2 linked regions of the Schizosaccharomyces pombe genome follow. The protein of the gene in region 1 binds, or shares a complex with, the protein of each later gene. Each region holds a gene or a part of one and is shown on either strand. Other genes may lie near its edges.

What was found.
Region 2: tim22 (region 1) and tim54 share a complex: the UniProt entries of both Schizosaccharomyces pombe proteins name them as parts of the TIM22 complex.

What each region holds. Positions count from the first base shown.
Region 1 is NC_003423.3:3,273,889-3,277,291, reverse strand, and holds tim22 (TIM22 inner membrane protein import complex subunit Tim22), read right to left. Parts: upstream 1,664-3,403; 5' UTR 1,434-1,663; coding exon 906-1,433; 3' UTR 606-905; downstream 1-605. Other genes in the region: vac14 (phosphatidylinositol synthesis protein), read left to right, coding at 34-113, 160-605; nascent polypeptide-associated complex alpha subunit Egd2, read left to right, coding at 1,814-2,335. UniProt on the Schizosaccharomyces pombe protein: Essential core component of the TIM22 complex, a complex that mediates the import and insertion of multi-pass transmembrane proteins into the mitochondrial inner membrane. In the TIM22 complex, it constitutes the voltage-activated and signal-gated channel.
Region 2 is NC_003423.3:4,065,869-4,075,754, forward strand, and holds tim54 (TIM22 inner membrane protein import complex subunit Tim54), read left to right. Parts: upstream 1-1,920; 5' UTR 1,921-2,161; coding exon 2,162-3,205; 3' UTR 3,206-3,299; downstream 3,300-9,886. Other genes in the region: sporulation specific PIL domain protein Meu14, read left to right, coding at 426-507, 549-1,474; DNAJ domain-containing protein Scj1, read right to left, coding at 3,417-3,466, 3,522-4,498, 4,554-4,642, 4,717-4,797; serine/threonine protein kinase (CK1 family) Cki1, read right to left, coding at 5,843-7,057, 7,141-7,266; rex2 (RNA exonuclease), read left to right, coding at 7,723-7,897, 8,003-8,083, 8,165-8,250, 8,370-8,435, 8,498-8,848; rnh202 (ribonuclease H2 complex subunit), read right to left, coding at 8,972-9,853. UniProt on the Schizosaccharomyces pombe protein: Essential component of the TIM22 complex, a complex that mediates the import and insertion of multi-pass transmembrane proteins into the mitochondrial inner membrane.

The sequences.
Region 1 (3,403 bases):
AAACTTTAATTTTTTATTAACCTATGTGATTAGTGCTGAAATTGAGTTTAATATCGATATGTTGATACAGTTGGACAAGTTAGTTCAATTAATAGAATCCCCGGTCTTCACATGTGGGTGCAATTGAATAATTGTTTTACATATTACTAATGACATTAGATATGCGCTTACAATTATTAGAGCCTGAAAAATACCCGTACCTTCACAAAGCCCTGTATGGGATATTGATGTTGTTACCTCAGTCTTCAGCGTTTCGGACCTTAAGAGATCGACTTCAGTGCTCTTCAACTCCAAGGACAAATACTATTTTAGCTAATGAAAGGTTACCTCGATCAAGGCGGGATGATCCATACTGGACGGACCTTCTTGAAAGGCTGAAAGCGGTACAGCTATCGCATCAAAACAATTACAGAGAACCCATCCGTGCTACTAGATTAGCTCTTGCAGGAGCATTACCATCAACCCCAACTGCCACTACAATATCTACTACAACCTCGGCGTCCGGAATTACAACTACAGCATCGAACTCTCGTGATTCCTTTATAACAAGGCTTCCACCAACTGCAGCTTTATCAACCGGTGCGAGAAAGAAGCCAAAACAGTGATGTATTTAATTAATAAGTGATATAATGATCATATGGTATAGAAAGAGGAATGTTAATAATTAAGTATTTTTGATGCAATGGAAAGGTGTCGGTAAATGAACGAGCGTAAACAAGGACAGTAAGAATATCATGCTAAAGTAAACAGTGCAGATTAGTCAGAAGAAAAAGGAATTATACTAATGGATGATAGGTTATGGAAGTCAACCCGGTTAACGCAGACAGAACGTAAGCATCTATTAAAAGAGCAACACATGAAGGTAAAAAAAAATGTCCAGTCAATTGAATAATGAAAGGTATAATTTATTCTCCCCAGTGCATATACTTTTCAATTCCATAAGAAAATAAACCAAAACCAGCGCCTCCTAGAACAATTGCCTTAGGTCCTGAACGCACAGCCAAAGCTCCACCTGTAAAAACACCGGCGGCGATGGCGTTATAAATATCAGTTTTAGCACGAAATGCCTCTATACAGCATTCTGAACCGGAATAGATTAAACCCAATAAACCAAAATTTTTGGCAGTAGAGAATGAGCGGCTACCCATATCCCTTGCTTGAATACGAATTTGTTCACGAAATGGCTTCTCATAGATCTTGGGATCAATGTGTTGCAAATCCAGAGAGGAAATGAACATACCAAATATACCACCCAAGCCAAAACCTAGTACACCGGCCATGCTACTTTTAAAGACGCAGCTTTCTGATATCCTGTTCATGTAGCCGATTATTTTTGCTTGTTGTAAAGCAGCTTTTTCTTCTGGTGTCAAATTTCCATCTGCATTGGGCGAATTTCCACCCAGATTCGGCGGCAATAATCCAGAAAGCGACATAGTTTGTTTGTTCTGCAAAGGCGCTGTGTAAAAAACCGAAAGGGTACTAAAATATAAATTTCTTTTTAAACTGTCGTTTCAAAATAACAAAAAATTATTCTACAATAATGTAACGAAAATATGCGATAACCGTGGTAATTCGAAGGAGATTAAGAGACGCGCCGAAACTATTAATTATACACTATCACTAACTCTCTTACATATAAGTAATAACTGAAGCTATGTTTTCTAATCAAACAATAAGGGTTAGTTTGCTATGCCCTACTACCGCTCCCAAAAGACAGTCACGGTAATATCAGAGTTCGACAAACATGAAAAACGAATGCGTCAACGATTGAATCACTTCCAACTACAACAATAGTCTTTTATTTTGATCCAAAATGTCTGTTGAATCACAACCTGTAGAGAAAATTTCTGAGCTTCCTGCTGGATCCACCACCGTTGTCCATGCTGAGAAGGCTCAAAAATTGATTCAAAAGTTGGGTCTTAAACGTGTTGAGGGAATCACTCGTGTCGCTATGCGTCGTCCTAAGAACATTTTGTTGATTATCAACGAGCCTATTGTTTATAAGAGTAGCAATAATGCTTACATCGTCCTTGGAAAGGTTACTGTTGAAGATATGGCTGCCCAAGCTCGTGCCTTCAACGAGTCTCAAAAGCAAGCTACTGAGACTAAGGAAGAAGCTGCTATTACCGAAGAATCCGGCGATGCTCAACCCGCCGATACTGCTAAAATAGAGGAGTCTTTTGAGCAAGAAAAAGCCGTTGATGAAACTGGTGTTGATGCTAAGGATATTGAGTTGGTTATGGCCCAAGCTAATGTTTCTCGCGCCAAGGCCGTTACTGCTTTGAAGGAAAACAACAGTGATGTTGTTAACGCCATCATGTCTCTTACCATGTAAAAGTATTAAATACAACTTTTTGCTTTTTACCCTCATGTTGTTTTTTTCGTTGTAAAAGTAATTGTATGTTTACATTTTTCCATTTCGCATAATCTTTTTGTAATAATGTGTGACTCATTAACACAGCTTTAGTCAGTCATGAATACGGCTAAAGCATGGCTCAAATAATCAAAGTCAATAATTTTTTTGTTTACTCATGATATGCGGATATTTCACACAATGGTCAACCTTTGTTTGACTGCATAATTTCAGAACTAGTCAACTTTGTCTTACTCAATGTAACTTGTCAATGGCAGCAAGTTCGTTTGCTAGCTTATTCAATTTTCGATATCAAACTGTCCGTGAATCAATCGTGACAGAAGTATTTGTTTCAGATGAACAAGGAGCACAGAGATGAATCATCTGACGATGATTAAATCTTTATTTTCAAAATATGGATTCTAGCTTCTTGATTATCATCTGCAATGTTTGCAGCTCATTAATTATGTAAAAAAAAATGTTGATGAAATTAGTTTTTGGTTTCATATAAACGGTTTTTACTATTAGGCAACAGAAGTAGTTTATTTCTAATTCTGATTTCGTTCAATCAGTTGAATGTATTCACAGGCATGCGAATAAGTGATCCATTAATGACTATTTTAAAGTTCGCAGCACTTTTAGTGATCCTCAACAATATTAAAATTCGAGCTTTACACGATTTAGTTTTTAAACACAAAAAAATTTGTAAGATACCAATGCGGAAATAATAAAGGATAAAATTTTTTGATTTTAATGATGCTTATTATTTTGCATGTAATTTTAACACAAGATTTAACTTGTATGTTTCCAATTAGTTCTAAATAGCTGTAGTATATCGCGGATGGAAACACTTGAAATATTTGGATAAACCAAGTACCCACGCATAAAATAGGACCAAGATTGTATGTATGATCAAACAAAAGTGAAAGTAATCCAAACGAGTAGATCCGAATAACTAATAAAAGGTAAAAAAAAGGATATAAGGCGTGTATGAGATAAGTAAAAAGATAAAATAAAAATAGACACAAGGAAACATCAACAAAAAGTTGA
Region 2 (9,886 bases), 790 kb from region 1:
ATATAATCAATATACAATTTTTTAGAAAGAGCTGTTTGTATGTGTATGAGCATTAAGAGAAAAGAGAATAGCGCTTCCTTGATCGATACTAGTTAAGGATGTTTAAATTATGGAATTTTGAGTTTGAGTAAATATAAACGAGAACATTCCGAAAAACTCTATTAAAAGTAAAAAAAAACATATTGATAATAAAAGAGCCATTATCTGATTATCGCTAAATAAGTCTACAAACAGCTGTTTGTTTACGAAATTCTTAAAATTAATTATCGTAATAATCAACTTAAAAAAAAACAAGCAGTTTTAGAATTTAAAGAATTATTTTTATTATTTGTCTTTTTTCTATATTGTTTATTTGAAAATTGTGCTTCTGTTTACAGGCAAATCTTAAGGCGGGCATATATTTTTCTGAAACGTAAACAATCAACATGCCCAAATCAAGCAACTTGAAAATGCAGAGAAAAGGCTCTTTAAGAGAAAACGGTCTCGTGAAGGGTTTAAATAAAAATAGTAAGATATAAATTGGTGTGATAAATAAGTTAATGACATAGAATTTTCGATCAGCAAGTTAAAAGAACTATCTCATGCAGATGACTCAAGGAAAAGTCACCGCATCATTAGATCCGGTAAAAGTTCAGGTGAAGCTTACAAGCAAGCTGGAAAAGGATTAATGAACCTTGGTAATCATCTGAGTGACTGGGGAGCAAAATCCAGTAATCTGAGTTTGAATGATATTAGCGATAAAATTGGAGTTCTTGTTAGTGAACTGGGAGAAACAGAAATCGAGTTTGTTAAAGCATTCAATGAAAACAGAATTAAGTTCAAAGCCATTAGAGCTATGGAAGATAGCATCGCACCCTCACGAGCACATCGACAACGATTAATCTCAAGCATTGAACGTGAGGAGGAACGAGATCCTCTTTCTCCTAAACTTACAGATTTACAAAATCAATTAGTAAGAACGGAAGCAGAAAATTTAGTAGGAGAGATGCAGCTTGATAATACTTCTCGAGAAGTATTCAAGTCATCATTTCAAGGATTGATGGATGCTTTCCAGTTAAGAGCACAAAAGCAAATGACTTTGAGTTATTATGCAAGCCAACTTGCTGAATTGATTAATGATGAAGTGGCTTACCCAGGGGATAACCCAGCTGCTTACAGTCAAAAATATGCAACACAAATTATGCATCAATGCGTAGAGTCCATGGCTCGGCTTCTTGCACCAGTAACTAGTGAAACTACTGAACATGTAGGTTCAGATTGTGAATTTACTAGAAAATCGTCTTCCTCAGTGGAATTCTCGGATCATAGCCAAGATTCTGGAGATCCAAGTCAGCAGAATATCTTGCAAGTGAAAAACGTTCAAGCAGTGCTTTCAATCCCTGAAGCTGAATCTTACAAGGCCCAGCTACTTTCCTCTATTGCAGAAGAGCAAAAGAAAAAAGAGTTGCAAGCAAAATCCACTGTTTTCTTGTAGTTATCATAACAAACTAAGAAACGTCAATCGGATTCTCAACCCAAAAAACATGTATGTCTTAGCATGTCGATTAATTGAAGTAAACTAAATTCAATATATTTATCCAATTGATCCTTCCAAAGCTTTAGTAGATAGCATGGTTAAGTTGTTTGATTTCTTTATAGAAAGCATCTTGAAACCAATAATGGAGGATGTTTATTTGGTCTCTACTTATTTAATTTATCGTATCCTTAAAATTTATTGTTCCAATGAGAACTTAGTACTATCGTACAAAAATGTCCTCAAACAGAATTCTCAATATCCCTGTTCCATTTTTATCTTTTCAAATAATAAAAATAAAATAAAAAAATTAGATTTCCTCTTAGGCCTTTATTTTTGCTTAATGGGATAAGGTTGCCTCGAGAGGTTGTATCTCATATACACAAGGTAGAACTTTTGCATACCCCAATTTACTTAACTACTTGGATTTTGGAAGTTGGTGGAAAACTTCTTTCAAAAATCAAATATTCACTATTACAACCTTCTTAATTTTCATTTTGACTTTTAGAAGTTTTCCTTTTTGAAAATCCATATATTGATTCGCAAATAAACGTGTGTATTTCATTTGTGTGAGTTCGCATATTTCATGTTGTGAACTTTAAAAAGAGGGAGAAACCGATAGATACGTTTTTTGGTTTGTTTTTCACAATGTTAAAAACAATAAAGTCTTATATGCCTGGTCGAAATATGTCCATATTTTTGGGATTCGTGGCAGGCATATCTGGAGCAATTTATTATGATCGGCGTCAGAAAAATTTAATAATTGAAAAGTATTGCTCTCAAGTACGCCATTTGGCTGATCAACCGATGGCACCTCTTGAGTTACCGAGAAAATTGAAGGTATATCTTCATGGACCTCCAGGGGATGGAATATACGTTGCACGGGAAGAATTTGAAGAATACATTAGACCTATATTTAATGCTGCAGCCATTGAATTTGAAACCGTGGAGTCCAAAGGTGAAGGGAATTTATTGGAACAAGTAGCGAGGACGGTTTACAACAAGAGGCATAACATTTCTGAAGTTTCTGAACCGGAAAAAAACCTCTTATCAGTTTTAAAACCAAGTGTTGATCCTCCTGCTATTGTTTTATTAGGAAGGCATGCCCTCAAAGAGTTCCTGTACGGCGTTCGATATGGATTTTCCGACGATATTATGAAAAGAAAACTTGAAACAGAAAAATTGGAAGCCAATAATAAAGAGGAGAAAGAAGAGAAAGAAGGAAAAGATGACAAAGATGACAAAGAGGATAGTAATGATACAAAGAACGATAAAAAAATTAGCAAAAACGAAGTAGACTCTTCTCTGATAGAAGCAAGTCCGTTGACTGGTCAAGTTCCACCAAAATTTTTGGATACTATTGCTATTTTTCCCTTACCAAATCTTTTAGGGTTTTCTAACACTCCTAAGCGACTTTCAAGATTTTTTAAAAGAAGAGAGCTAGCTGATGAATTAGGCGCAATTGCCGTAAACGTTGCATTAAGCAGGGATGTAACTAAGTTTCCAAAACAAGACGGCACTTTACTTCTAGCTGAAGAGGAAACAGATTGGCCGAAGCAATTTTTTACAAGATCTGATTTGGAAAACCGCATTTGGACAGCTCCCTTTCTACAGGACTCTGATGAGATACGTTTTTTTGAAAACATTGATATCTTTGATTCAACGAAAGCCAAACAAGATAAGTATGAATGAAGTGATGTCTATTCTAAAATTTGAAGAATAAAACAAATATATGAAATTAAGTACTGTGTATGAAGAATTACTAGGTAGCCATAAACAGTAAAAGGAAAAATAAAAGAATGGCGTATTTATGTATATAAGATAGTCAACAGTAAATGCAAAGGATTTTGGTAAATAAGCTAGTTAAATTAAAAACGTAGCAGCGGCTTCAAAAAACTCCGTTTTAAAGCTCATCAAATTCGTTATCATACTTTTCAAATAAGTTATTGAGGTCTGAATACATTGGTTAGTTTAACAAAACTTATATAGTCTGCGAGATGTAACATACCTTTCAAAAACTTTCCTTTCAACTTTTTAGGAAATTTGACCTCCCACTCTATATAAGCACTTCCATGTGCAGAAGTGGTTTTTCCTTTATGAAGGTTGTAAATTGGCATTCCTTGATTTTTCACTCTCTCCGTTTCCCCAGGATGCACAACTTCGCCAGCTGACCGCTTAACCTCCATAAAGGATCCATCCAGTTTTTGTATTTTACGTTTCCAATTTCCGAGTAAAGCTTCCCTAACCGAAATAGTTTCCTTTCTATATAGATCATTATCTTTTCTAGTCCATCCATAATCACCACCAGCAGCCTCAAGGATAACGATGATATCTCCAGCTTCCATACCAGGAATTTCATCAGCTTTACCACGAAAACCGATACGGTAACCTTCAGGAGCACCAGCTGGTACTTTAATGTCAAAGCTTTCAACAACTTCAGCAACACGCTCACCTTTGCAGCGAGGGCATTTATGCTTGATCGTACGTCCATTTCCATTACAAGCGTTACATGGCATACGCATTTGCTGACGAAAACCTGGAGCGATCATGTGTTCAATGACTCTGAACCCTGAACCACCGCAAACAGGGCAACTTTCGATAGCTTTATCAGCGGAGTATTTAGGATTAAAGCCCTGACCACTACAAACACTGCAAGTTCTCTTCACCGGAATTTCCAAGGTAAAACTGCCTCCGGTGTAAAAAGATGAAAGATGAATTTGAACTATTTGCTCCATGCTAGGTCCTCTGCGAACGGCATTTTGACGTCTACGTCCGCCAAATATGTTATCGAATATATCACCAAATGGATCAAATCCGAAACCTCCACCTGGGAATCCTTCACCTGGACCACCACCAGGACCACCAGGTTGACCGTTTAATCCTTCTTCTCCATAAGCATCATAAATCTTACGTTGCTCAGGATCAGAAAGGACTTCATGGGCCTTGTTAATTTCAATAAACTTCTCCTGTGCTTCTTCATTACCTCTAGAACATTTATTAGCTTTAGGCTTTCATTTGTTTGCATGCTTGTTTAACTTACGGATTTTTGTCAGGGTGCCATTGTTTCGTCAATTGTCTATATGCTTTGCGAATCTCAGATTCAGATGCATCTTTACTGACTCCAAGGATCTGTTTTTGAGAGAAGTTGTTAGTGAACATTTTTCTTTAATTTTCTTCTCAATCCTACGATCACATGCACTTACTTGATAGTAGTCAGCAGCAGATACAACTGCTTGAATGCAAACTAAAAATCCTAATATAAAATGAAAAAGATTGAAATGCATTAACTATGTTTAGGAAGCGAGTTGGAGTTTAGCTCACTTTAACAAGGGAATGGTATTATGTAGAAAGATTTTCTTGAAGAAATCCAGGACAAGTTTGCAACGCCTCGGTATACTCATCGCCGTGGTTATCGAAACCATAAATTTAATTTAACATTGTTTAGAAATGTCATAAAAGTTACTATATGAAAATATTTTTATTAATACAATTAATCCATTTCAAGGATCCACATAGGTTATTTAAATAGTCCAAATAGTTGATAATTTTATATTTGTTTCAACGAATATCGGGTGGAATTGTTGGTAGCAATATTTCGAAATATTTTTACATGCTAATTTTATTACTAAATTTTTTAGTTCCAAAAACCAACTACTCATTATTTCAGAGGGTAAGTATGCCTTTAGTCATTTGAGGCAGAGTAAGGATGATAAATAATAATATAATATCTATGTACACGTAAATACATATACACATAATATATATAATATAGATAGATAGATGTGGGTGTTCAAACCTCTACACATATGTACGAGAGTCCAAATAACTAAAAATAGACTGACAAGCAGTATTCAACGACCTTTATGCTCAAGGAACGCATAATATCATCGGAAGTGATCAAAAGACAAAATGTTGAACGAGACAAAGATTATAAACGGAAAAAAACATAAAAGCAAAGAACCTGTGCAAATATAAGATATCATTGCTTTAATCACAATAAGTAACCTCCAGTTTGACAATACGCGAAGAAGCCTAAAGAAAAGTAATTATTTCAAACGTACATTTTACAGATTTATAAAAAAGGATAGATTACCGGGAAGGAAGAAAAAATGCAAAAGTTAACCCTGCTAGCAATTCTAAGAAGAAGGATTTGGACAAAGAAATAAAATGAAAAGAAAGTGTATAATTAAATGAATGAAGCACAGAAAATCGTTACGGCACAAAAAATAAATCACAAAAACACTTTTGTCAACTGAAAGCCTGATTATCCATACCAGTCTGAAGAACAAAATAATCAAGAAATTCCTAAATACTAGTAGAACATATTATTCATGTGTCTTCATTGGAGCCAGAACAACAAGAAAGAATACTGGCCCAAAATGATTTTTTCTTTTTAGGTGCTTCTGTTTCTTTCGTAGCATTTTGTACTTGCTCTCGGGTAACCCGTTCTTCAGAAGAATCATGAACATCAACGGGTGCTGGTTGATTAGTTGCTAAACCGGAACGATCAGGCACAGTTGTGGTAGCTTTCGTCTCCGTTGGCGGATTAGGTAAAGAATTTTGATTGGGTTCAGCAGAATCGCTTGCAGAATTCAGATGCGGCTCGGCAAAAGGCTTTTCATAATCAGAGCGTTTGGAAACTACGTTCTGAGTACTTGCATGATTTTGCAGGGCTGGTGACTTTGATTCCAATTTGGGTGCTGGTGGTTTGCTTGAACGTTGATTTTCTGTCTCTGCGTTTCGCGACTTCAAGCTTTGCCAACCTTTACCGTTATTCAATAGATTCCAGTCAAAATTTTCATCCTCAGTAGTATTTAATCGCTCTAGGACTTTCGAAAATAGGCCTTGCAAATAATCATAATCTGGAGTAGCATCGAATGCCAAATTACGAGCATAATGCATATACTTGTAGAATTCTTCCGGGAAACCAGCACACAACTCGCGTAACGGGGTACTTTGCTTTTTCTCACCAATTCGTTCATATTTTTGCTTATTGGTGGCAGCCTTCAATCCTTGCCAAGGTAGGCTACCTCTAAGAAAATACATGAATACATGACCCAAGGCTTCCAAATCGTCTCGACGGGATTGCTCCCGACCCAAATGAGTATTAATAGACATGTAACGAGCAGTACCCGAGAGGTTCTTTTTCTCCCGGTAAGGTATGTGCTGTTTGGTAACTGGATCACGATAAAATTTTACCATGCCAAAGTCTACTACGTAGATCATATTAGCATTTTTACTGTTTGGTCGACCGATCAAAAAATTATCAGGCTTAATGTCTCGATAAACGAGACTCTTCTCATGGATAGATTGCACTCTTGCCAACATCTGTTTTGCGGCCATAGCAACTGTTTTTACACTAAATTTACGGCCGCAGAGATCGAGCAAATCTTCTAAACTTGGCCCAAGAAGGTCAATCACCAAAATGTTATGTAACCCTTCTTGGCCAAAATAATAAACATTCGGAATACCCGTACATCCTGCCAGCAACTTGTAAGTACGGTATTCATCACGTAATTGAGGAGCATCACTGCGTCTTGGTTCCTATAAGCAAAATCAATCAGTAATGAAGGAAACAAGAAAAATATCCAGCTTCAAAGCATGGCATCAAATGGATTCTCACTTACAAATTTAATGGCTACTTGTTGATTATTCAACAAATTCGTCCCTTCAAAAATAACACCAAACGAGCCTTCGCCAATTCTTCTTCCAACTTTGTAGTGGACACCGACTACATTGTTTTGTCCACTCATTATCTTTGAACGATTTGTGCTGGAGATTTGTCAAATATGATGTCTCCGTTTTCCGCTATCGAATGCAAAAAACTAGGTTGTAAGCGATTCCTGTTTAAATACTTTTATGAATTAGATTGAATCACAAAGATCTCCTATACAAACCTTGAAATTACAACTATTCAAGCCGTTATTGAGAAAAGAGGTGGATGGTGTTGGAACGGATGTTTTTAGTGGTGCTTTAGTTACGGAAGTGTCATGTGCATCACTTCCCTCTATTCCTGCCTGATTAAGGGGTTAGGTAATGCTGTCTTTGGAATACAAACACTGTTTCAAAACGTTTAAATAAACATACTATTACTAGTTTTCATTGCAAAAATCAATCGATAGCTAAGTTTTTAATTTTAAAAAATCCCGGATATTAAAATCCAACTTACAACGAAGTACTTTCATTAAGTAATAATACCGTATTTTCATATGCAAGGTGCATTCTTAAATAATAGAATCATTTTGCAGTCATATCACATTAAAAAACGCTTGTATAGCAAACGCACTAGCTCGTTGCATTCGCGCTTCTTGCAGCCAACATATCGCAAAAATATTTGTCAAATTTCCAAACCCATTTTCCAGCAAGACTTATCAACGAATACGAGTATGTTTAGATTCAGTCTATCAAGTTATCATTTCTACAATTTACATGTTTAAGTTTCTTTTTGTCGATGTGTACCTCAGTTTTTAAACTTTTACTAATATAAAGATTTCATCTCAAAATTGAAAAGTCCATTCTCCAACCTCAAAATGTCGAATTTAAAGCAGCCCCTTGTTTGGATTGATTGCGGTTAGTGAGCTTTAGTATAATCTTAGCTTTTAAAATGCATTACGATGGTTTTATAGGTAACTTGTACTAATATGATTGAAGAGATGACCGGGTTAGAGGTGGGAAAGCATGTATTGATGGAGGTCGCGGCAATCATTACTGATGGAAATCTTCGCCCCGTTGAAGAGGTAACTTTTAATTGTGAACATTGAAACATCGGCTTTTAACTTGAGATGTTTCAAGAGAAACAAATGCATGGTTTCGAAGTTGAGCGTTTATTAAGGCTGTCATACTAACTAAGGCGTAGAAATTTGATGCTGTTATTAAACTCGACGAAAAGCAATTGAGTGAAATGAATGACTGGTGTATTGAGGTATCTTTTCTTGCTTTTAGTTCATTCACGGATGTCAATTTTCTAATTATACTAATAAACAGCAACATGGGAAAAGTGGTCTTACGGAAAGATGTAGACAGAGTAATTTAACAGTGAAAGACGTTGAAAACCAGTTGTTAGCATACATTAAAAAATACATTCCAAAAAAACGAGAAGCGTTAATCGCTGGAAACAGTGTCCATGCAGACGTAAGGTTTTTATCTGTCGAGATGCCAAAGATAATCGAACATTTGCATTACAGAATTATCGATGTTTCTACTATTAAGGAATTAGCCAAACGCTGGTGCCCGGATATTCCTGCTTATGATAAAAAGGGTGATCATCGCGCATTGTCGGATATTCTTGAAAGTATTGGTGAACTTCAACATTACCGCTCTTATTGGCTTTCTTGAAACATTGCTCAAGAAAGAAGAATTCCACTTTTACAGCAATTGACAATATCTTGTAAACATGCCAAAAAAATTAAGGGTACTATGCTAAGAAAAAAATAAAAGCAAAATCATACCTCGGTGATCTTACTTTTTTGTAAAGAATGAAGATATTTTCGTCATTCCTTCTCCTGAGAAGTATTTGGACTTCTTGGTGGCCTGCTTCCGATTGGGCTTTTTTAAAAGACTTGATGTAATATCACTGTTTTGTGGACGTTTTTTAGAATTTAACAAAGCTTCCTTTTCTACCAAAATCTTTCTTGATTCTTCTAAGTTTTTAGTGTAAGCGTGCAGTGGGGCCAATTCTTCCTGCCAGTAGGCTAATTTGTTATACCATTCAGGTTGAAGATCTTCACAAACCAATGAAGCGGCATGCCACTTGCATGACAATTCTAGTAAATCTTGTGGAAGCGGCGTGCGGAGGTCCAAAGGCGCTAACTGTTTTTTAAGTTCGGTTACAATACTAGGGGGAAGATTTTCTTGAGCAACCTTGGCTTTCCTTAGTAAAATTTTAACAACAGAAGATTCATCCAGTTGAAAGGTCTTGGGCAAAGATCCTACTGGCTCGTTTACTTTACAAATCCGATGTAATGTGTTCAACAAATTCGGAGAGAGGACTTCTGACACTCGTGGATAATGAGGACCCATATTATCAAAGTGTTCAATGAAGTCTTCAAACGAGACATATCGATTCGGTTCTTTCCGGCGACTCCAAGTAAGTTCCTGAATGATTGGAAGCACAAGCGCGAGTAAGTCTATCGGGGTGCAAACATAGAGATATCCGTCCGATACTACATGATCCCCTACAAACCAAGACCTTTGTTTTGAAGAATCCCCAACTTGAAGGATTTGTAAAAGGTGATCGTTTGTTAATAAATAACGAAGTGGTCTCCCGGTCAAGGGATGTGAGAGTTCAACAAATTGTTGATTTGTAGAATCTTTGGGTAGTATGAATATCTTTCCCTGCATTTTTTAAGTTTAAATTATGAAACCCCAAAATTT